Linked DNA regions of Daphnia pulex. The main gene of each other region encodes a partner of the protein of the gene in region 2 in a complex. Links are inferred from orthologs where the notes say so. Each region holds a gene or a part of one and is shown on either strand. Other genes may lie near its edges. The genes, in order: pre-mRNA-processing factor 19-like and pre-mRNA-splicing factor syf1 homolog.

Region 1 (10,672 bases), on a different chromosome or scaffold from region 2:
CTTGGCACGGATGTAATTGTTTCGTGTTCAACTGTGGTGAAACTAAAAGGATGAGAAAAAAGTTGCGAAACTTTGTTATGGATTCATGATGGATGGGTTAGATATCGCCCGCCGGAATAGCGGACATTCGAGCCTTTGTATATTGGGGTTCAATTTGCTGCCAAGTGAAGCCTCGTCAGTGGGACTTGTTATCGATGGGAACCGACTGCAAATGTTAGATGCTGAAAGAATGCGCATTGCTTGAGGTTTAGTCGATTCCCGTTATCCGCTTTCACTGATCAAATATCATCCCCGCATATCGTCTGAAGGCGATCGAACTGAATCATTGATGACCCCCCTCCTCCTTCGACCGATCGTGTGTCACGTTAACAAAAGGATGTGGTCAAATGTACACGTCCATCCCGTATTGATTGGTCATTAGACTCCAGTTTGCAATTGTGTTGATGATATGTAGTTTAATCAAATTATCATCTCGTTTTATTTCCTCTCATGCAGCTATCACATTTCAAGAGAACTTGCTGAAGACGATGATCCAAATGGAGAATACATTTTTCGCTCTTGCTGAACATTTCAACCGCGATTGCATTATTATTTGCGACCGAGGAACTATGGACGCATCCGCATGTAAGTTGCCATAGAGATTTCGTTCTCATTTTTCCACGTGAATAATTTAGTCTAGCTCAGTTGCAAGTAAGGATGGATCTATAGTGACATGCCCCACGAACATGTTAGTAAACCAATACTAGTGGTCCGATTTCGCTTTGAATCGAACAGGAGATGAAGTTGGCGAGATCGTGCAGAAATTGCGTGATTCCACGTGAAGCACGTACGCAAAGTATTGATTGCTGAAAGTAGTACATCCCGGAGATTAAATGATTTCTCCAACTTCTTCACGAAATGTTGCCAGTATAATATAGCTTCGCGGTTTAGTAATTAAATGCGCGGTTTCTAGCATAGATAGCGTGATATTCGTTAAACCAGTTTCACCTTGATAAATAGCATGACCATAAAACTCAAGGTTATTGAGAAAACGCTTGGCTCAAGTTTATGTTATCAATATATAACATGTGTATGTAATTGTGGTTAATGGAGTTTTACGCAATAATAAGTCAATGTCGTTTCACATTTTATCTCATGGATTATGTCTATTAAACTAGTTATTTTTATTAGTTGTCTCAAAGGAAGTTTGGGAGCAGTTGATGAAAACAAACGGGTGGAATCCGGTTGAGCTAAGAGACACGAGATACAACCAGATAATCCACATGGTATCAGCTGCCAAAGGCGCTGAGGACTTTTACACTACTGAGGTAATAACATACATTAAAATGAAATTTAGTGATACTCATTCATGTTTTTAAATCAACAACAGGATCACTCTTGCCGGAGTGAAAATCTGGATTTGGCCCACACACTAGATGATCGTGCGGCTGAAGCTTGGATTGGCCATCCTTATTTTGACGTTATCGACAATTCGACTAATTTCGATACTAAACTCCGTCGCATGATTAGCGTAAGCTTACGGTAAATTTTGTTTATTCGGAACAACTTATTTTCATTCGTCGATTTTATAGGCCGTATGTCAGCGAATGGGTCTGGACACTGGAGACCGTTTGGAAACCAACGCTAAGAAGTTCAAGTTCTTAGTTCGTTCATTGCCCGATGACAGTATGTTTCCTCCTTTTGAGGATTTTGACGTCATTCATGACTATTTACAGACCAATTCAAAGAAGACGCAAGCTCGCTTAAGAAAAAGAGGCCAAAAAGGTGAGCTTCTATCCGTAGGATTAATAATTTGATTGAATTCGTTGTGTATTGATTGCTCGTTGCATGTCGCTAGATCGCTGGAGTTACACCTTAACTGTACGTCGGCCGGAAGTACGTGGTCAAGTGGTAGAAATCAAGACGCAAATCACCAGCAGAGATTACACTAACATGCTGGAGCAACGTGATCCTTTTCACCTAACCATTTTAAAGAAGAGACGTTGCTTTCTCTATCACAACCAGTATTTCCAACTGGATATTTACAAAGAGCCTTGCCATCCGAGGTATACTTAGCAATTGGATTTTTTCCAACAGAAACACTTCACTATACCAAAAACGCTTTTCATAGATGCCACGGCCTAGTGTTGTTGGAAACGTATACGACGCAATCGTTGGAGGAATTCCAAGCTAATAAATTGCCCGATTTCCTTGACATTGTCGATAACGTGACGGGCGATCCGACCCACTCTATGTACAACCTTTCTCTTAAAGAGGAATGGTTAAATAATAAAAAATTCTGCTTCAAACTTGCAGGTAACGCAATATCCGATAACAAATATTTGGTATTTTTCTTGTGTGTGTTGTGGAAATCCTGGGAGGGTTTGTACCGTTCACAGGGGAGTTCACATACATTGTGGGGAAATATTGTGTAAGTTATAGTTACATATTAAAGGATCCATATTTTAAATTATTGACTCAGCTGAATTGCACGAGGAATTGGGCTGAGGTAAGGAACACCGAGCTTGATGGCTAATGATCGAGTCGGATGCATGCGTGTGTATCATAGGAGAATTTTCACCACAGAATTTATTTAGCAAATCACAATTTTTTCGTATCCTAGTATTTGTTCCTTATTTTCTACTTTTATTTTAAGTTTAAGTCTCGTAGAATTTGACTAATAATTTTTTTTTGTATCTGAATATCAAAAATCTGCAGCCGACGACGAAGATGACCTGACTGGAAGCCCTCGAACCAATGGCTGGATAGGACCACACGTTAATGGAGTTTAGTAGCGATTCTCAGCACATATGGTCAAGGGCACGTTAAGTAACCGACTATTAAATCTGATTCCTGTGAGTCTCAGTTCTTATTCAAGTTATTCTACTCTCACTATATCAACTCCCCCCCCCCCCCACATACAAAGGTAAAAGAAGAAATAAAGAAAGCAAGAATAGAAAAATTTTCTGGGAACACCTGACTCATGATAACTACGATTTTCTTACTGCTGCTTTGTAATAACTACAAAAGTTGCAATACGCTCGTGTTAAAGTTATTAGCTAGTCTACTAAATGATGATCGCCGATAAACTGTAGCATTTGGCCGTCAATACTTAAGCGACCGTGTTACAATTTCTTCATTTACCCTTTACAAGTGCATTATATCCCATGTAGTATTAAAATAACCTTCATTTTCTTAGACAAATACAATATTGTATTCTTGCAGTAATACAAATTCTGGAAATTTCAAGTGTATCATTTTAACATTTACAAGTTGAATTTAAGTTCAATGGTGCAGATTATGCCCCTTTACCTTTTTTTGCAGTGTAACAACTTTGACTGGTAGCAGAAATTGGTCTTTTTGTTGCATGAGAAGTGGTTTGAGATGTAATGACAGAGTCCTGATCATAATCAGAACTGCTTACACTTTGCTGATTTATTTCTTGATTTTGTTTCTTCTGCAAGAGCTCAGAGTCATGAGCAAAGACACAGTTTGACCCAAATCTGCACCTCCCTTTCCTATAGTTCCAGCAAATTTTTCTCCCATTGATTTCTTTGATGTCTTCAAGTTTGGGGGTGAATTTTACATGCTTTTCAAGTGTGCCCTTTTCTGCTTCCTCTGCTTCTTTGTATGGATTTGCAAACACAGATTTTCCTGACACTGAAGTCTCTGAACTGCGAAAAGGGTTTTTCAAGTTCTTTAAATGTTCATCTTGCAACGAAAAGTTATCTGCTTGATCGTTTTCTTCACTAAAAAATGAAATATTTAGAAATTTAAAAAATTCATAGAGAAATTTGTCATACCCACTACTACTATCATCAAAAACCTGAAAAAAATTATTTTTGATTTTTGATTTCACAGGATCTTCAGCAAGTTCTGTTTGTGTTGATTCTTTTGTTTCCGTTCCAGAACTTTCCGAGCTATCCGATCCATAACCCACCAACAAATTTAACGAAGTCATCTAATTTTTTATCGTAGAAGCTTAACGAGTGCTTAATTTAAACTAAAGAAATGGTGAATTATTTAAAATTTTAGTAGATCTCTTAACTGACTTGCAGAACAATGTGTAGTTGTGTTGTGTACTGTACATTGTTGCAGACGACATTACCCAAAACACAAGAGAAGTCATAGGGTTACCCAGCCCTCTGTTGAAAAAGTTTAGAGACAGGTTTTTTTTTTCAAAGATAAGTGATCAGTAGTTTATTAAATATCAAAGTGTAAATCGTGATTGTTATTAGTATAGATCAGTACCAGCAAAATTGCAATTCAATCAACGTGTAATCGGAAGTTTGAAAGTGCATACTATCTCGGATTTTTTTAAAGAAACTTGCACACAAGGATTTAAGAACTAATTAACTACAGTTTTATTCGAACGCATCGAAAAGTCATGAATAGCTCAGGTTCAGAACGTAATGTTAGGGCGGGATTCAAAGAGAAACGTCGAAACGATACAGACAAGAACACACCGAATGCACGACAGATTGGCCATCATTTAAATGTTTGTCCAGCCATAGGGCTAAGCAATGTGCAACTTAAAACACACAAAAAAAAAACACTGATGATTTTCTCAAACGCCTCCTCGGCGATATGGGTGGTATTGAGATTGCGACGGCTGGTGGTGGTGACCACCTCCTCGTTGAGGACCCGGTCCTCCAGGGCCAGCAGCTCCGGCTCCTGCTCCAGGAACACCAAGACCATTACCGGCAGGTGCAACGCCAGGTGGTGGGACTCTTTCTGGATTTCCATAGCCTAAAAAAATAACCATAATTATCATAAAGATCCTTTTTTGTAAAAACTAAATTAACAATCACCTTGTCCACCTCCATATCCTTGAGCGTTAGCTTCTTGGGCGTATCCTCCTCTGTATCCTTGGTTAACGTCCTTGGATAATAATAAAAAAAAAAACGATTGAATTCCTAAAAAAATGTAACATTTGACTCGCACAATTAACTTACTGTTCCATAGCCATTAGTTCCGTATCCAGCACCGTACTGAGCAGGTTCAGCTTTTACTCCAGGAACTCCAGGTCCAGTAGGGGCAGCTGCGCCCGGAGGACCACCATTAGTTGGGTTAGGACCTCTACCATACATATCGCCGTTGGGACCTGGGCCACCAGGTCCACCTCCTTGTGGGCCCGGTCCTCCCCAATTCCAGTTGTTGTATCCACCTTGTTGAGGTCCACCTTGAGGGCCTATATAGTTTAACACGTTCTTATTTTCATTCATCTACGCGGTATCAAAGACAATGTGATTCATGGAAAAACTTCTATTTAGAAAATCTCAGCCAATTTATCTTCGAAATATATCCTGGAGAAGAAACAATCACTTTATCAGCATACACTTTATTACCATAGCCATAATTAGCTCCTGGTCCTCCTCCATATCCTCCCCACTGCCCTTGTGGGCCCCATCCTTGATATCCACCTTGGGGTCCATATCCATATCCACCTTGATTGGCAGGTCCACCCCATCCTTGATAACCACCACCCATGGGAGGGCCCATCGGTCCACCCATTGGGCCACCCATAGGACCCATACCCTAAATGGCAAAAACGCAAAAAAAAAAAAAGAAAAAAGAAAAACACAAATCGATTATTTAAAATCTGTTTGTAACTTAAGTTTGAGCAAGAAAGCTTAGTGACTTACCCCATGCATTCCCATTCCCGGACCTTCCCATCCACCATTGTGTCCTCCACGTCTCATTCCACCAGATGATCCTCGAGTATCACGGGGCTCTGCTTTCTTGATTTCAACCTATGGTCCAAAAGAAATCTTTATTCCTTGTTTGATGACTAATGTTAATTCTAACATTAGAACGAATTATTATGCATTCATATTTTTTTAAAACAATAAAGAGAGCTCACCACCGACCTTAACTTGTTACATTATTGATAAGATTATCTATTGTTTTCTATGAGTTAATTACAATTACTATTTAGAAGACCAATAGATTGGTACAAAGACCAGCTTAACTCGACGGTTAGATACATTTTCTAAATAAACTTTAAAAATATATAAGATCAAGTGTCGGCGAGGTTTAAACAATGGTGAGCCCTGATTATTCATACTTCCGATTGCGTTTTTCACAAAGAGTAAGGGAGAGGGACATTGGTTGTTGTTTTGATGATAGAATACCTGCTTTCCATTGATTGAAACATAGTGTTCACCAGTGCAGCGATCCACCGACTCCTCCGATTCAAAGGTCAAAAAGCCAAAGCCTGTCCCAAGGTTTTCCAAATTGCTTATTACACTTTTTTTATACCACTTTTCTTTACATCTTTCTTTGATCTCATTAATAATCATTAGAAGAAATCTTGGGACAGGCCTGACTAAATTATTTTTCAACCATAACTTTTGACTGTAGATCTGATGAGATTGATACCGGATTCTAATACTTGAAGAGAAATAAATCTAATACATCGTTAAAAACTAGAGTTGTGATTATGAAAGAAATATTGACTCAACCCAATGGGTATGCCAATATTTAGTCAGATGTAAAACTTGTAAATCCACCCTCCCAAGTTCCTTAATGGCATATTATCTACTGTAATTCGCGGAAACTCTTTCACATGAGCAGTAGAAGTAAACGTGGATAGGAACTTAGCCATTTGCTTACCTATAGGAATAAAATAACCACACTATTAAAGTTAGCAAAGTTATCAAAAAAGGAATCCATCGAATCTTCGGAATATAACCACTTACACTTGCGTCATACGTTATGTAAGGACGTTCATAGTTTATTTACGCTGTTTTAATTAACTTTAATACCCACTAATTGAGGAAAGTGACTCACCTCGAGATTTTTTCTTTTCTTGGTCGTACATGATAACGACTTCAGAGACCTTTCCGTACTGCGAGAAGAAGTTACGAAGATCTGTTTCTGTCAAGTTTGATGGAAGCCCACCTAAAAATACTTTGTAACCATTTCCTGTACCCATACTCCGGCGAGGAGCGCGTACCATTTCGGCACGTGGATTACAAGGTTTGGGGTCAATCTGCATAAACATAAAAATATGAGATCATAAAAAACAACCAAAAATGTAGAAAGAAATCAAATATATATCTCAAGTTGAGATATAAACTTCAATTCCTTCCACTTCTATGTAGCAATACCGCGAAAGGAGATAAAATTATGTTAAACATTCTATCACCGCTCAGGTAGTGCAAATAAGAGTATGAAGAAAATATAAAAACTTACTGTGCGATTATCGAGTATATGGGGTGTGTTTTGTAGTACTAAACCAACATTGTTAGGATCAGCAAATGTAATGAACCCAAACCCTCTCGATCTACCAGTTTCTGGGTTCTTCATTACCACACAGTCAACAACTTCACCATACTGACTGAAATATCGAAGCAAATTATCGCGCGTCGTTTCCCAGCTTAAACCTCCGATGAACATTTTACTAAAAAAACAAGATTCGTACCAAAAAATAGTAAATGGACGCAAATCATGAAAAGCTTAGTGTACGGCGTCATGGATTTACATTCTCCCATGAACTTCACATGTCATATTATAAATGGAAAAAATTTCTTACCCTTGTTCATTCGAATTATCACCACCTTCTTTTCCAGGGAATTTTTGTTGAGAGGCCATTGTTCAGTTTAAATTGAATATAACAGTAAACGAATCTTTCAAATTTTCGAGGAGTGTTCGCACTGCGCTTGGGTTGGCTTCTTCAGTTGAGAAATGGGGGAAATGGCTGGCCCGGCATTTCAGTCAGTTTGCACCGTTGCCTGGACACTTTTTCTAGTTGAAAACTTGAAACTTAAATTATGAAATTATTACTTATAAAAAACTATGCTGTTTCTTTTACACATTCCAATAAAAAAATTTCTGAGTCTTAAAAAAATGATTGGATTTTGAAAAGAAAAGAAAACTCGCACTGAGGAATGAAGCGCTTTATTGAATAGTGTAGTCTAGCAACTGTTTAGCCCTAAGCGAAGCGAACATATGCATCTTGGCTTGTCGCACATTTTTGTGAAAAGTATATAAAAAAAGGTTACACGCTTCATCATGGCCCTCTGTTGTTCTCGTAATATTACATTTTCATTATAAATATCAATTTAAAACCAATCCATTCTTCTGAGAAATTTGATATTTAATGTCTTATATCTCTTGCTTATATAGTGTCGAACGAAGTTCCCGAACATCCTGTGGTCTCACCGGTGTCAGGATCTGTGTTTGAACGTCGGCTGATTGAAAAGTACATTGCTGATAACGGGGTAGATCCCATCAATGGGAAAGAAATAACTGTAGATCAACTTATTGAAATCAAAAGTAAGAAATTTTTTATCAAAGTTCCACAATGAATTTACATGTAATTGAAATTTTGTTTCTAGCCCCCCCAATTGTTAAGCCTAAAGTGCCATCTGCAACAAGCATTCCCGCCGTGCTTAAGTCTTTACAAGATGAATGGGATGCTGTCATGTTAAATTCCTTTACTTTGAGGCAACAATTACAAACTGCTCGACAAGAATTGAGGTATTGACCAACTTAATTACACATGGAATTATTGTGCAAACATTCTCTTTCTATTTGTAGTCATGCTCTCTACCAACATGATGCTGCTTGTCGTGTTATTGCACGCCTCCACAAGGAAGTGTCTACAGCACGGGAAGCACTTGCAACTCTTAAGCCCCAGACTGGCTATGCTGCTGTATCTACACCATCTGTTGCTGCCTCAGTAAGAAAGCATTATGATATTTATTTGTATGTTATTTATGATAAATTTACTGATTTGATGTAAGGCTGAAGCGGGTGGTGTGGCAGCACAACCGATCGAGGCAGCTGGATTAACTCCGGAAATCATATCACAATTACAAGATAAAGCCACTGTTCTTACTCAAGAACGAAAACGTAGAGGCAAAACCATGCCCGAAGGCTTAGCTACAGCAGAAGCTTTGAAGGGATATAAAACTTTGGCATCTCATCCGGTAATGACATATAATTTTGAAATGTTATCCCATCTTCATGGATTGATTACATATAGGCTTTGCACAGTGCAAGTATGCCCGGAATTTTGACCATGGACGTTCACGCCGCCGATACTTCTCATATTTTGACTGGAGGTAACGATCGATGCGCTACAGTTTTTAACAAGGACACTGAGCAGGTTGTTGCTGTTCTCAAGGGACATACAAAAAAAGTTACCAAGGTGCTTTATCATCCAGAAGAGGTAATTTCATGTTTTCTTTTAATTTTCTCTTGATTTACTTTGTTATATGATACTAATATACCCCTTGAATCTGTTATAGGAAGTCGCGATAACAGCATCTCCTGATGCGACGATTCGTGTTTGGAATATAACCGGCTCCTCACAATCTGCCATCATCCGTGCTCATGATGGCCCTGTCACAGGCTTGTCGCTCCACGCAACCGGAGAATATGTTTTGTCGACGTCACTGGATCAACACTGGGCATTTTCAGACATTCGCGTTGGGCGGTTGTTGACAAAGGTTGCCGACACAGACGGAAATCCGCTTACGACAGCCCAGTTCCATCCAGATGGTCTCATTTTCGGCACTGGAACACAAGATTCACAGATCAAAATTTGGGATTTAAAAGAACAATCTAACGTGGCCAACTTTCCAGGTTTGGCTCTTTTAAAATAATCTTGTGATAAACATTAGCTTTACTATTACCATTTTTACAATTACAGGTCATTCCGGTCCTATTGCGGCTTTGTCATTTTCAGAAAATGGTTACTATTTGGCTACAGCGGCAGAAGACTCTTGCGTCAAATTGTGGGATTTACGGAAATTGAAGAATTTTAAAACAATTCAGCTCGACGAAGGATACGAAGTTAAGGACTTGTGCTTCGATCAAAGCGGCACCTACCTTGCTGTGGCTGGTACCGACGTGCGTGTTTATCTCTGCAAGCAATGGGAAACTCTTAAGACTTTTAACGACCATACAGCATTGGCTATGGGAGTCCGTTTCGGCAACCATGCGCAGTCGATAGCGTCTGTGAGTATGGATCGTACGCTGAAAATTTATGGCATCGAGTGATTCACTGTATTCAATGTTGAGAGGGGATTTTTAAATGAACATTTTTCGTCTTATCCTTTTTTTTGCTGTAAGGTGTGCAAACCGCATCGAACTCTCGCCCTCACAAAAATACACGCGTTTCATTTTTCCCATCAAAAACAATTCTACGAGTGTATATCGATAGTTAAGTTTCCCGCGTTACTATCGATACATTAAATAAAACAAAAAGCTTCGAAATTTTGTCACTAGTGGCGTGGCAGTTCGCTTGGCATTTTCGCTTTCTTGAAGCATATCCCAATGGCGGCTTAGGCAATCGATGCATCGGCCGCTCCTTCGTACAGGGGTTTATGTATTTGGCCTAAAATGCCGGTCGACTCTTGTAAACAAGGAATAGTGAGATCATACTACGTTAATTTCAAATTTCATAGTTCAAATTCTTCATATTGGATTGCTATCCTGAATCAAGATTTTTCCAGATAAAGTACGAGGTAAGTCGCCCAAAAACAGTTCCTTCAACCGTCGCTTCTATCAAGTTGCATTGTTGCATCTTTTGTAATTGGAAGCGTGGTTTTGTTGAATGAATAAAATTTTCTGCCCTTCAAAAAATTTGTCTTCTTTAATTTGACGCATTTTTTTTTCTCCCTAAAGAGTTGACACAACTACTTTAATTAGCTTACACATTAATCAGAACTGTTTTATGATG
Region 2 (10,713 bases):
AGATTCCCGAATTTCACAAACTCGATTGAGGCTTGAAGCTAGACTACCTGTTATATCAGCAGCTATATAAGCATTGTTGAGGTTACTTTTGATCATAAAAGAAATCTCAGTTCGAGTGGAGAAATCCTCTTCTGTTCATCGCAATGAAGGTAGGCAGTAAAATAGTTTGATTATAAAGATAGTGCTACATACAAATTTCCAAAAAGATATTATATATAGCATTGCGAAAATAGATAATATTTTTTTGTTAATTTTAATTATTTGTTCTAATTGCTTCGCATTGCTCGCAGATATTTTCACTTCTCTTCGTTCTCTTCGCCATCTGCTTTAACGTGTTAATTGAAGCAGCTAGACTTGAATCAAATCCCATCATACAAACTGATCTCGAGGGTTCTGAATCGATACCATACGGAAGATATCCAAGTCGCAACCGCGGCCATCCTTACCTCGGGACAAGGCACACGCACCATCGCGTTGTCGGATGACGGGACAAGTTTCTCCAATTTGATGAGAGTGATAATCTTTCTGGACAAACCTGATTTAACTCATAGTTGCAGGGAAATTTACTGACCTTATTTTTGTGTCCTGAATCTTTGAAACGCAACAATTTTAATGACTCACGAAGATACGTACTGAAATGTACTTTATATCTTCACGTTTCATTTTTTTTTCATGTGCTAACGTTTATATCGTGAAACCTGCGAAAAATGTATTCGGACTTGAAACCACGATAAAATGTTAAACGAATTGCGTATTCCCAATTGAAAGCCTTTCAAGGGTAACTTCAGGGTGATCCAGTATTAATCGGCATGTAATACGATATTGTGCATTAAATATACACTTCCTGCATTGACACTTGCTTTTATTGCGCCAAGTTTCCCCGGCAGTGGAAGGACTAGCTAACCTTTCGTACATTTGAATCGCCGAGTAAAACAGAATGTGTGGGAAATACATACGGTCGTTTCCTGTTCTTTAGAGTTTGGTGTTTCCCTGAGAAGTAAAATCCTACAAATCAAAAGTAGGACAGACGACGAAAAAAATCGACAAATTTCATAGGCGAAAAAAAAAATCCAATAACCAATGAATAATCATTAAATTCCCGATAAATCTTTACGCTTTCCCACTATTCCTGGTACATCGGTGATTCAATTCCGACAAATAATTGCACATGTTTTAGCCATCCGTCGTACAGTGTCAAGGTAAAAGCTCGAGACGATGGGATTTTCGCACAAAATGGTCGAAACATTTACCGCGCGTCATTATGAAGGACAAGACCGTTTATGACTTTATGATAATGCCCTTGATCTGTTTAGAAGGTCTCATATTGTTTACTGTACGTGTTTCACAATACATCTGATAACGTTTTATAGTTAGGCCCATCTTAGCACAATCCGGTCCAGACGAAAGGAAACTCCTTCTACACCTGAAAGATTTCCCCTCCGGGAACTCTGTCCAGGATAAATAAGCCGTGGAGGGCCTTAAGCGTGTCATATAGAAAGTCAAAGCTGTTGAACGAACACTAGCTAAAAAAAAATCTCTCACTCAATCGCAATGAAGGTACGTAAAACACAAAAATTCAAAGAAAACTCTTTTAGTTATCATCAATGCAATATTTGATAACCGCATTGTAACGTAAATGTCACATGTTAAACATTTATGTAACAATAAGTTATAATTGTTCTGTTATAATTAGGTCGTTTCCCTACTCTTGGTTTTCGCCATTTCTTGTTCGGTGATCATGGCAGCACCCCAGAACTTTGAAGCCAACCCCAGCATATATGCAAATATCGCCAACGTGCATGCTAATATTGCTGATCTAGACACTGCTGAAGCCATACCCGGCCGCAGATACTACACCGGTAGCCGCACTCGTTCAAGAATGTCCGGTCGCGGTATGCATCGAGGATAAATTGCTACGTGATCTATCTATCGTGTTCTTCTGTTTCGCACTTCTTCGTACGACGTAATTGGCTCAGCTCAAGTCAATTTACTTGATATTACGCAATATTCCCGACAAACGTTTATGCCTTGGCAGAAAGATCGTCTATGTTGTAATTATTTGTATGCGTTGTCGTGAACGCAGCCTTAAATTAATGTCTTAATAAACGTTTATCAGTAATTACTAGTGAAATTAAAATGCACAGTACCTTTTCTGTAAAGAAAACTCATGTATTGAGCGATGGAATACGTTCAAAACTTCTTTTACGTTACTCGTTATTGGGCTTCTTCTTCATCTTCTTCATCCTTTTTCAAGCTACCAAAGACTTGACGTGGAACTTGCTGTTCTTCAATGGTAGCTTCCTCTTCTTCCTCGTCATCGTCTCCATCTTGATCAATGTCGATTTCGTCAGGGTTAGCAGCAGCAGCAGGGATGTCCTCGGTTGCGGAACCAGGCTGAGTTTCACTCCGGACGAACATGATGTTGCTCCCAGCTCGCGCCAGAGGCTTGGCAACAGGCTGATAAATTGTAAAAATTGCATTAAAAGAAGATAAAGAGAAATGTAACGAGTTTCATTACCACTGGAGGGCGAGATTCTTCAGCTTCTGCATCTAGCATTTTCATGCTATCCTGAGAAGCAGCCGCCGCTTCGGCAGTGTTGGTCGCAGCAGCTAACATTTGAGCTGACATCATATTGATCTAAAAGCGAAAAATGTAACAAGAAAATTAAGATCGGCTTCAAACTCATCAGGTTGAGACTTTACCTGTGTATTATATGTTGCCTGCACGCTGCGTTTGATTCGAAGCATTTCCCGCATCGTATCTTCGTTGCCATGGCGAATTTCAAACTCTTTCCAAACCTAAAAAAAATGATGGGTGAATAACTTTCTAGGACGGAATTGAATAAAAGATAAGATACCTTCCAAAATTCAGGCGCAACTCTGGGGTCGCACATTTGGCTGCAATGTCCGTATACAGCACGGGCTCTGTCAATTTCTCCCAATTTGCGCTCCAAATCGGCAAATCGCAAACACATTTCCCTAGCCTGGTGATCGGGTAGCTCTTCGATGGATCGTTCATAGATGTGGCGCGTCTTGGTCACACCATAAATCTCGGATGCCTTCTTTATGTACATATTGTACATGTCAAAGCGCTCATTTGCTGGCACAGCTTTGGTGGCTCTCTCGTAAACGTTCATAGCGTGACGGGCTAAGCCGTGTTCCTCTTCGAGTTTAGCGTAGAGCATAAAGAAAGTCTTGGCAAACTTATTCGGACATCCCTCAAGACACTGTTCAAAGAGATCTCGAGCTCGTTCCAATTTTGAGCCGCCGTAGCGTTTCAAAAACTTTGAGAGATAGGTGTTCCAGATGTCGTACACGTTGGGCCATTTGAAAAGAGCAACGCCACGTTCGTAAGCTTTAAAAGCTTCTTCAAAGTAGTTATTTTCCTCCAAAAAGATGGCATAGTTCATAATGATTTGCGGTGTTGCAATTTTCAACTCGAGGATACGGTCATACACGGCCTTGCATGTTTTGAAAGTACCAAAGCTTTCTTCAAGATCAGCGTACAAACCCCAAATCTAGAAAATAAAAATGTGACAATCGTAGAGAGATCATTAGAATGGAAGTGGCTAAAAATATAAAATACCTTCAGTGACTTATGAACACGTGTTTGCACTTGTTCGGCGTCATCATGGTAATTAATTTTGCGTGCAGGAGGAGTTGTAACACGGTGCATTAACTTGAGAGCTTCTTGGAAATGAGAATTTCGGATCTCCATCTCGGCCCACTCGCACCAAACAGTCGCCAGTTCATCAACTTTCACGTATTTCACCTTTAAAGTGACACAAAAATGATGAGGGGATCAAAGGCTTTTAATGCACTGCAAAAACAACTTACATGCGTAGCTTTTTCGAAAACTATCCGTGAATCGTCAATCTGATCATTTTTCTCATAAAATTTGGCAAAGTCGACCCACAGCGTGTGCACCTTTCCAATGGCCTGCTTTGGATCGACTGTCTGGACAGCCTCGGTAAAAGTATTGATAACTTCATGAGGTTTGCCCTCATAAAGCTGGACTCGTTTATGCCACTCGGCGACATTATGGGGGTTTTGACGTAAAAGAACAGAATTCAATAGCAAGGGCCGGCGATCCATTAAATCCTCAAAGCGGGCCATCCTCAACTCAACTTCAATATCATCGTCTTCTGTAGGATTAGGTTTCTGACCAATCTCTTCCATCATATGATTCAAATTCAACTCTTCAAACTGGGCATAGGCATCAAACACCTGTCGTAAATCAGAAAAACGTTAACTTGATTCGCATTAAATAAGACGACCACAAAGTATTTTACCTGTGTGAAGTCTCGTACTGTAGTAACTGTCTGAATGGCTTCTTCGTAAATATCTCTTGCTCTTTCAAACAAACCACTTCTAATATAGTAATCGGCAAGGGAATTCCAAAGCTGGCCAAGTTGATCAGTGTACCTACATAAGAATCCAGTAAATTATTCCTATGTTTGTAAAAATATTTGCATTTAATTTTTTTCCAGACACTCACCGTCGAAGACCTCCTCGAATGATTGCATCCACGTTAAGACTTTTAATTTGCTTGGGATTTTTCGAATTAAGTTCGCACAGTTCATTCCACAGTTGGTGGTTTGATTTTCCTGTCTTCGAAACAAAGCTGTCCTTGTTCACAATCTGGGCAAGTTTAACAGCTGCCTCATCAAGTCTGTCAATAGATTTTAAGTAATCGACAAATTCCTCTGCATCTTCGGTCGATAGTTTAAGAAAACGACGGAAAACTCGAACAGCTGTTTCTGGTATTGGATGCATTTTAACAAACTTCAAGTAGAGGGGCCAAATTCTGGAATGCTGGGTGATTGGCAAGGCTCTTAGAGCACGGTCAAAGACCTTTCTCGTAGTGGTAATCTTCTGTTGAAGAGTCAGAAACTTGCAATAGTCCATCCAAATCCTTGGCATCTATGGTATTCATTAAAAACATGGTATTTAATAATGTGTGATAATAATATAATTGGCATTTAAGATACCTTGTGCATGAATACCAATGCTCTTTCAAAAGTATTGTTGGCATCTTCATACAGTGGATCTGTTATACAGCGACCTTTAGTTTGCTTCCTTCTTAGGCAGAGATAACTGTACCATAGTTTGTAACTGTGAAGAGACAAACATGTGGATAGTTGAAAATGAGTACAAACTTATTTACTATGTACTACTACAAGAACCAATCAAACGAACCTGCCAGGCATTTCCTTCAAAGCTCTCTCATAAATCAAATTGACAACAACAGGAGGGGCATCCTTTTTGAACTCGCAATAGCGAAGCCAATGTTTGACAGAGTAAGGGTTCCGTAGAATCTCCTCTTCATACGCTAAATCTTCTTCACACTTTAAAGACAGAAGACATATTGTTAAAACCTATTAGTCAACTTCAATATAAAACAATGTATTATTACCAAAACAATGTCTCCAGTTTTCTTCCCTATACTTTTATCCATTTTGTTTATGAATTTTCTCGCAGCCACTCGGCTCAAATAAAATTTAACAAATAAATTTACGAACCAAACGTAAATGCACGTCTGCCGGGTGAAGTGTTGCCAAGTTGCACACTTACGTCTAACCCAAATTAAAGTTGAATTTTGTCCCTAATAGCGTCTTTTTATATAACGAGATCATTATAAAAATGGATTATCACAAGTTTTTATAGTAAAAATACCTTATTTTTGCGTTTGATGTGAAACAGCGACAGCCGACAAGCCACAAGCGTACATTCGCTGTTGTTTGTCCCCTCAGGCCTAAATTGAAGTGGGGTCTTCTGCTGTTTACAACCGAATATGGCCGACACTGTCCGGCACCCAGATGAGGCAGATAATTCTAATTCACAATTCCCTTATTCCTCGGAACAGTTACCAGATGAATACGTGAGTTTAAAAAAAAAATTATTGTTCGTCAACTGAAATTGATACTTGTCTCTTTTTTTTTCAGGGCGATGATGGAAAAATCGACCAAGACACCACCGGTAATGGAGAAATGTACGAAATCGAAAATGAAGATCATATTGCCATAGACAGAAATGACGGAAATACGGAATACGCTGGAGAAGGCTATGGTAATTTCATGTACATTTTTAATTATGGAAAAGTTCTTCAACTATTATCCCTTGTCTCTTTCCCTGTGTTGAATCGCTTGTCTGGTTTTCCCATAACAGTTTTAACATCCTGTATTTTCTATTGTAAAAGATCCAGAAGAAGCTGCAGAGACTAACGAAGAAAAGGATGAGAGACAAGATGAAGATCAAGACAATGATGACGATGAGGATGATGAAAGTGATGATGACGTACAAATCACGATTGGTGACATAAAATCTGGCCCAGCAGCTTATGCTGGTTTTAATGTCAAAAGAGGAACAGCTGGAACAACGGCACAAGGATTGGGGGAAAAGAGCAAAGTATACATTGAGCTACATCATGTTTGATGCAAGAGTTTGTTTTTAACATATGTATCTTATCTTAAGTTCACTGTGGAAGAGTTCGAAGGCTCAATGGCGATTAACGGTGTACCAGCACATGAATTTAGTTTGGATTCGCTGGAAGATAAACCTTGGAGGAAGCCTGGTGCTGATATCACTGATTATTTTAATTACGGTTTCAATGAAATAACGTGGCAAGCATATTGTGAGAGACAAAGGCGATCCCGTATGGAGTCTGGGGCTGGTGTTCCGGCTAGCCTTGGATTAGGACCCCCACCCAAGGTAATAAAATACGTAAACAAATGAAGCTCAAAGACGATATTATTATTTTTTGATTCAGATGATGGCGACCCCGGCCCAAGCGATTCCGATATCAGTGGTTAACGAAAATTCAAAATATGCGGGGTCAGTGGTTGTGAAAAAAGCAGGCCCTCCGCCAGCACGCAAAATGGCTGGTGCCATTGATGTCATTGGTGGAGGGAATCTATCTTCACGCCGACCAGAATCAGGCGTTTCACCTGCTCCTTCTATGGAGGAGCAACCTCCCGAAGTGGTAAGGCCCCGTATCCTTAATAAAATATTCATCCAAAGTCAACCAAAAAACTTTAAAGTTTATTATTTAAATTTCATTTTAATATCAGCCTGAAGCTCCTGTGGAGAAACCTCCCGTATCGATCGATTTCTCACGTCCTCCTCCTGGTTTTCCAAATATGGCTCTACCTCCTCCATTTGGTATGCCGCCACCAGTAATTCCACCACCAATGATGTTACCACCACCACCTATAGTACCTGATCCCTACGCCAATGAGTTCATGGCTGGCCCAGGAGCTCCTGGCGATGATTATTACCAATACGAACCTACTCAGGATTCACAGTGGGGATCTTCGGTAAGGATTTTAAAGACCATAACAGAAAACAAAACAAAATAAAAATAACTTTTTCCTCTTAGGACTGGAGAGGACCACCACCTATGGGAATACCACTACCAATGGGAATGAACCCACCGGGAAAGCAAAGAAGAGAGAGCCTGGGGACCCCTCCTGTTCCTGGAGAAGAATCTCGGTACTGTATATAAGTGGTACTCGATCTCCGTACAGCATTTGATTAGCTCTTCCTTGCAAATAGGATAAGCAGCAGCAGTCGAAGGCGCCGTAGCTCGCGCAGTCGCTCCCCTAAAGACGACCGAGAAAAAGAAAAAGAAGTGGAAAAGGATCGAGGCAAAGACAGAGAAAGGGATCGTGACCGCGATAGAGACCGAGATCGCGACAAACGGTAAGAGGAAAATCAAACGTTGACGAGCTTCTTCTGAAAATGCAATTGATATATTTCGTTCAACTTACACAGGGATCGACGCTCGGATAAGGACAAAGAGCGTGTAAGTGGCCGTGACCGGGAAAGAGATCGTGATCGTGACCGAGGAGAAAGAGACCGTAGTGATCGTAGACGTCGTCACCGAGGCAGTAAAAGTCGGAGTCGGAGTCCCACTTCTCATAAGCGTTCCTCCAAGCGCTCAAAGAGGGACAGAAGTAAAAGCAAAAGCTCGTCTGATTAGTTTTCGATACTCGGATTTCACTCCCTGCCTTTGTTAAATTTTGCGCAATTGGCCCAATTTAAAAAAATACACTCCTTTTTTCATTTACCTATTTTTGTTGATTTTCCTGAGTTATTCGTCTTAATCACAATTTATTTCAGCCCATCGAATAAGATTCAAAAAGAAAAGATTCCAACGCATATATTCGGGATGTATTTTTTTTCAAAAATGAAAGAGGGTAAAGTCGGTTGCACAAAGAGTGTGTGCTATTACGGAAATACATATGGAGGTGTTGTCTTTTTTCCAACCACAGAATTTAATATTAAAAAAAAGGAAAACTGTCTTTTCGATGGAGAGATTGAAAGAGAGAAGCGTTGATTTTCCAGAAAAAAAGGATTTGAGGAAGGAAGCGGATGTGGGATGTCGAAGAGCGAATTCTGGAGGGGACGATTTTTTTGTACATGAATCATGTTTACAAGGGGGGTGGGATAGGGGAGGAAAGAGCACTAGTGATATTTTTTACAGCATTTCGTAATTTCAATACATAACACCAGCGTTTACAAGGATACATTCTAATAATAAAGGTCGAAATAAAAGCCAAAATCAGGAAATAACTGACGCAAAAACCAAGGGATTGTAGGAAGGGGAGAGCTACACAAGAAAAGAAGGGACAAATGTCCAAAAGGAAGTTGGTGAGAATTAAAGAGAAAAAAGAAACAATTCACAAAATATTGGTCCGTGTGAGAAGAATCCACGGGATAAAGAGCAAAGAATTTGAAATAAACCAAGTAGCGTCAGCAATAAAGGAAATCTACGAAGCGGACCGGCGTTCTACAACTGAAAAAAGAAAAAAAAACAATAGGAAATCGAGGAGTTGAAAGTTTTGGAGAAATCCGCAAAAAAAGGACCCACAAAGTTGGTGACGTATCGTAGCGAATGAGTGTGTGGGGGTCACACCACACAGCTTGACTGCCGCACACAACGTAAATTTACAGTCGATGGGTGGAGAAAAAGGAGAGAAAAGAGCATTTTCCTTCAAAAATCTTTCCACTGTTTTTACTTCGCTTGGTTTTTGTTATGTAAAATAATGGAAAAGGTTCGCTCTTTTCACTTTTGCCGCTGTACACTTTACAGAAAACCAAAACGCTAATTGAGGATGGGAAATTCTGTTTTGGGATCAAGTAAGGGGAAATTGATGTCATTTCTCAAGTCAATGAAGGAAGGGAGAAGCAATGAACAAAACAAGGAACAAAAAAAAAATGAAATAAACAAATCGTGGTGAAAGGAGTTGTTTCGTTTTTCTTGATTGGCAACGGCACCTCCAATCTCCCAAACGGAGTGTGTAGCTTGTAGAAATTTACGAAGAAACACAGAAGCAGAGAAAACAAAATCAATAAGCAAGCGCAACTCAGCGTAGACACGAAGTGGGTAAAAAGGAAGTGATCAAATAATGGACCACCAAGATGGCGATCTAAACCGACCCCTTTAAATCTAGCGAATTGAAGTGAACATCTGGGAGAGAGGAAAAGAATCAAACACAGAGCTGTTTTCATTTTCGGTGGATTGATGATTCACAGCCGCGAAACTTATCGACACAATCCATCAAATACCGATCGAGAATCCAAGAGAAACTCGAATGAGACGGTGGAAGAGAAAAGTTATTTCTTCCCCCTTCCGACTTTATAACGTAATATCATGCAGAGTTGGAGGATGGTGAGGGGAGGATGCGGACCAGTCGATTGAATGAGGATAGATGAAGTCGAAAAAAAAAAGGTTTAAAGTAAAAAAATACGAAGGGAAATTTCCTGTACAATGTACACATGTAAGGAAAAAGCTGTACAATGTACACTACCACAACGTATGGTACAAATGGTCAGTTGAGAAATCCAAGAAAGTTTTGAACGTTACTTTTTACCCTTGACAAAACCAGAAAGAACTTGCCCGTTTCCTTTCCCTACCCACAAAAAATTGATTTATATCCGTCAACTTAAAAAAAGAAAAAAAAATTAATAATAACAAAAATGGTGTTGGCTTCCCAATCAAAACAACGCATTTTTATGAGAAGATGGGAGAGGGAGGAAAAAGAGAACCAAAAGTTGAGAATTTTTAAACCAAGATGTGTTTTTTTTTTGTCTTGTTGTTGTTAACTGTCGTAGTTTTTAATAATGTTGTCGTTGGCTGTTTGTAGCGGTGGTGTTGCTGCTTTTGCTTCATCCGATGACTCCATTCGACGGGGGTCCAATAGGTCCCAAATCGACGTTATTCTTGAGGAAATATTTTTCCAGTTTGGCGAGAATGTGTTTGCCGTAAGTATACTTGCGGAGCGTGGAGACGTGCGGTCGGATTTTGTGCATGAGCAGTTTGCGCTGCGACGGCTCGGCCACATCAATCATTTTCTGCACGACGTAGTTGGCATACTGCGAAAGAGAAAAATAAGATAAGACGGTTAGAGCTCTTGAGCTGTCAGCGATGAGATTTCGTCACTAATTCGCACACGAACCTGATCCTTCATCATGGTGTGTAGGGGACTGTGCGGACTCGCGTCGTTGAAGCTGATCACCTCGTCAATGAGACTTGCTCTCTCGGATCGAGTGGCGTGCGAGACGCATTTCTCCACCACGTTGGAGGCGAACTTGTGCTGCGACAACGACAGCACCTTGCCCTTCACGGCTGTGACGATCCGCAATTTGTCCTCGGGCTTGCCGTGTTCTAAAGTTACAAACACCGACATAAAAAAAAAAGAGTGAGTAACG

What was found.
Region 1: pre-mRNA-splicing factor syf1 homolog (region 2) and pre-mRNA-processing factor 19-like share a complex: the UniProt entries of both Homo sapiens proteins name them as parts of the XAB2 complex. The link is inferred for Daphnia pulex from reciprocal best matches to the Homo sapiens genes XAB2 and PRPF19.

The regions. Positions count from the first base shown.
Region 1 is NC_060022.1:3,387,568-3,398,239, forward strand, and holds pre-mRNA-processing factor 19-like, read left to right. Parts: upstream 1-7,882; 5' UTR 7,883-7,995; coding exon 7,996-8,014; intron 8,015-8,109; coding exon 8,110-8,259; intron 8,260-8,321; coding exon 8,322-8,463; intron 8,464-8,523; coding exon 8,524-8,665; intron 8,666-8,729; coding exon 8,730-8,915; intron 8,916-8,971; coding exon 8,972-9,157; intron 9,158-9,236; coding exon 9,237-9,573; intron 9,574-9,640; coding exon 9,641-9,990; 3' UTR 9,991-10,128; downstream 10,129-10,672. Other genes in the region: TRPL translocation defect protein 14-like, read left to right, coding at 496-624, 1,171-1,307, 1,370-1,510, 1,572-1,764, 1,838-2,045, 2,111-2,295, 2,698-2,771; uncharacterized protein LOC124195731, read right to left, coding at 3,278-3,728, 3,783-3,940; heterogeneous nuclear ribonucleoprotein 27C-like, read right to left, coding at 4,547-4,728, 4,791-4,860, 4,935-5,170, 5,328-5,517, 5,625-5,732, 6,114-6,196, 6,772-6,973, 7,177-7,384 and 1 more. UniProt on the Homo sapiens protein: Ubiquitin-protein ligase which is a core component of several complexes mainly involved pre-mRNA splicing and DNA repair. Required for pre-mRNA splicing as component of the spliceosome.
Region 2 is NC_060020.1:2,899,474-2,910,186, reverse strand, and holds pre-mRNA-splicing factor syf1 homolog, read right to left. Parts: upstream 5,768-10,713; 5' UTR 5,677-5,767; intron 5,616-5,676; 5' UTR 5,459-5,615; coding exon 5,417-5,458; intron 5,349-5,416; coding exon 5,200-5,348; intron 5,116-5,199; coding exon 4,992-5,115; intron 4,924-4,991; coding exon 4,499-4,923; intron 4,426-4,498; coding exon 4,293-4,425; intron 4,228-4,292; coding exon 3,838-4,227; intron 3,773-3,837; coding exon 3,587-3,772; intron 3,519-3,586; coding exon 2,859-3,518; intron 2,800-2,858; coding exon 2,704-2,799; intron 2,639-2,703; coding exon 2,519-2,638; intron 2,458-2,518; coding exon 2,215-2,457; 3' UTR 2,149-2,214; downstream 1-2,148. Other genes in the region: pre-mRNA 3'-end-processing factor FIP1-like, read left to right, coding at 5,795-5,881, 5,946-6,069, 6,200-6,408, 6,475-6,711, 6,770-6,982, 7,071-7,316, 7,379-7,491, 7,555-7,701 and 1 more; pumilio homolog 2-like, read right to left, coding at 10,171-10,377, 10,461-10,669. UniProt on the Homo sapiens protein: Involved in pre-mRNA splicing as component of the spliceosome. Involved in transcription-coupled repair (TCR), transcription and pre-mRNA splicing.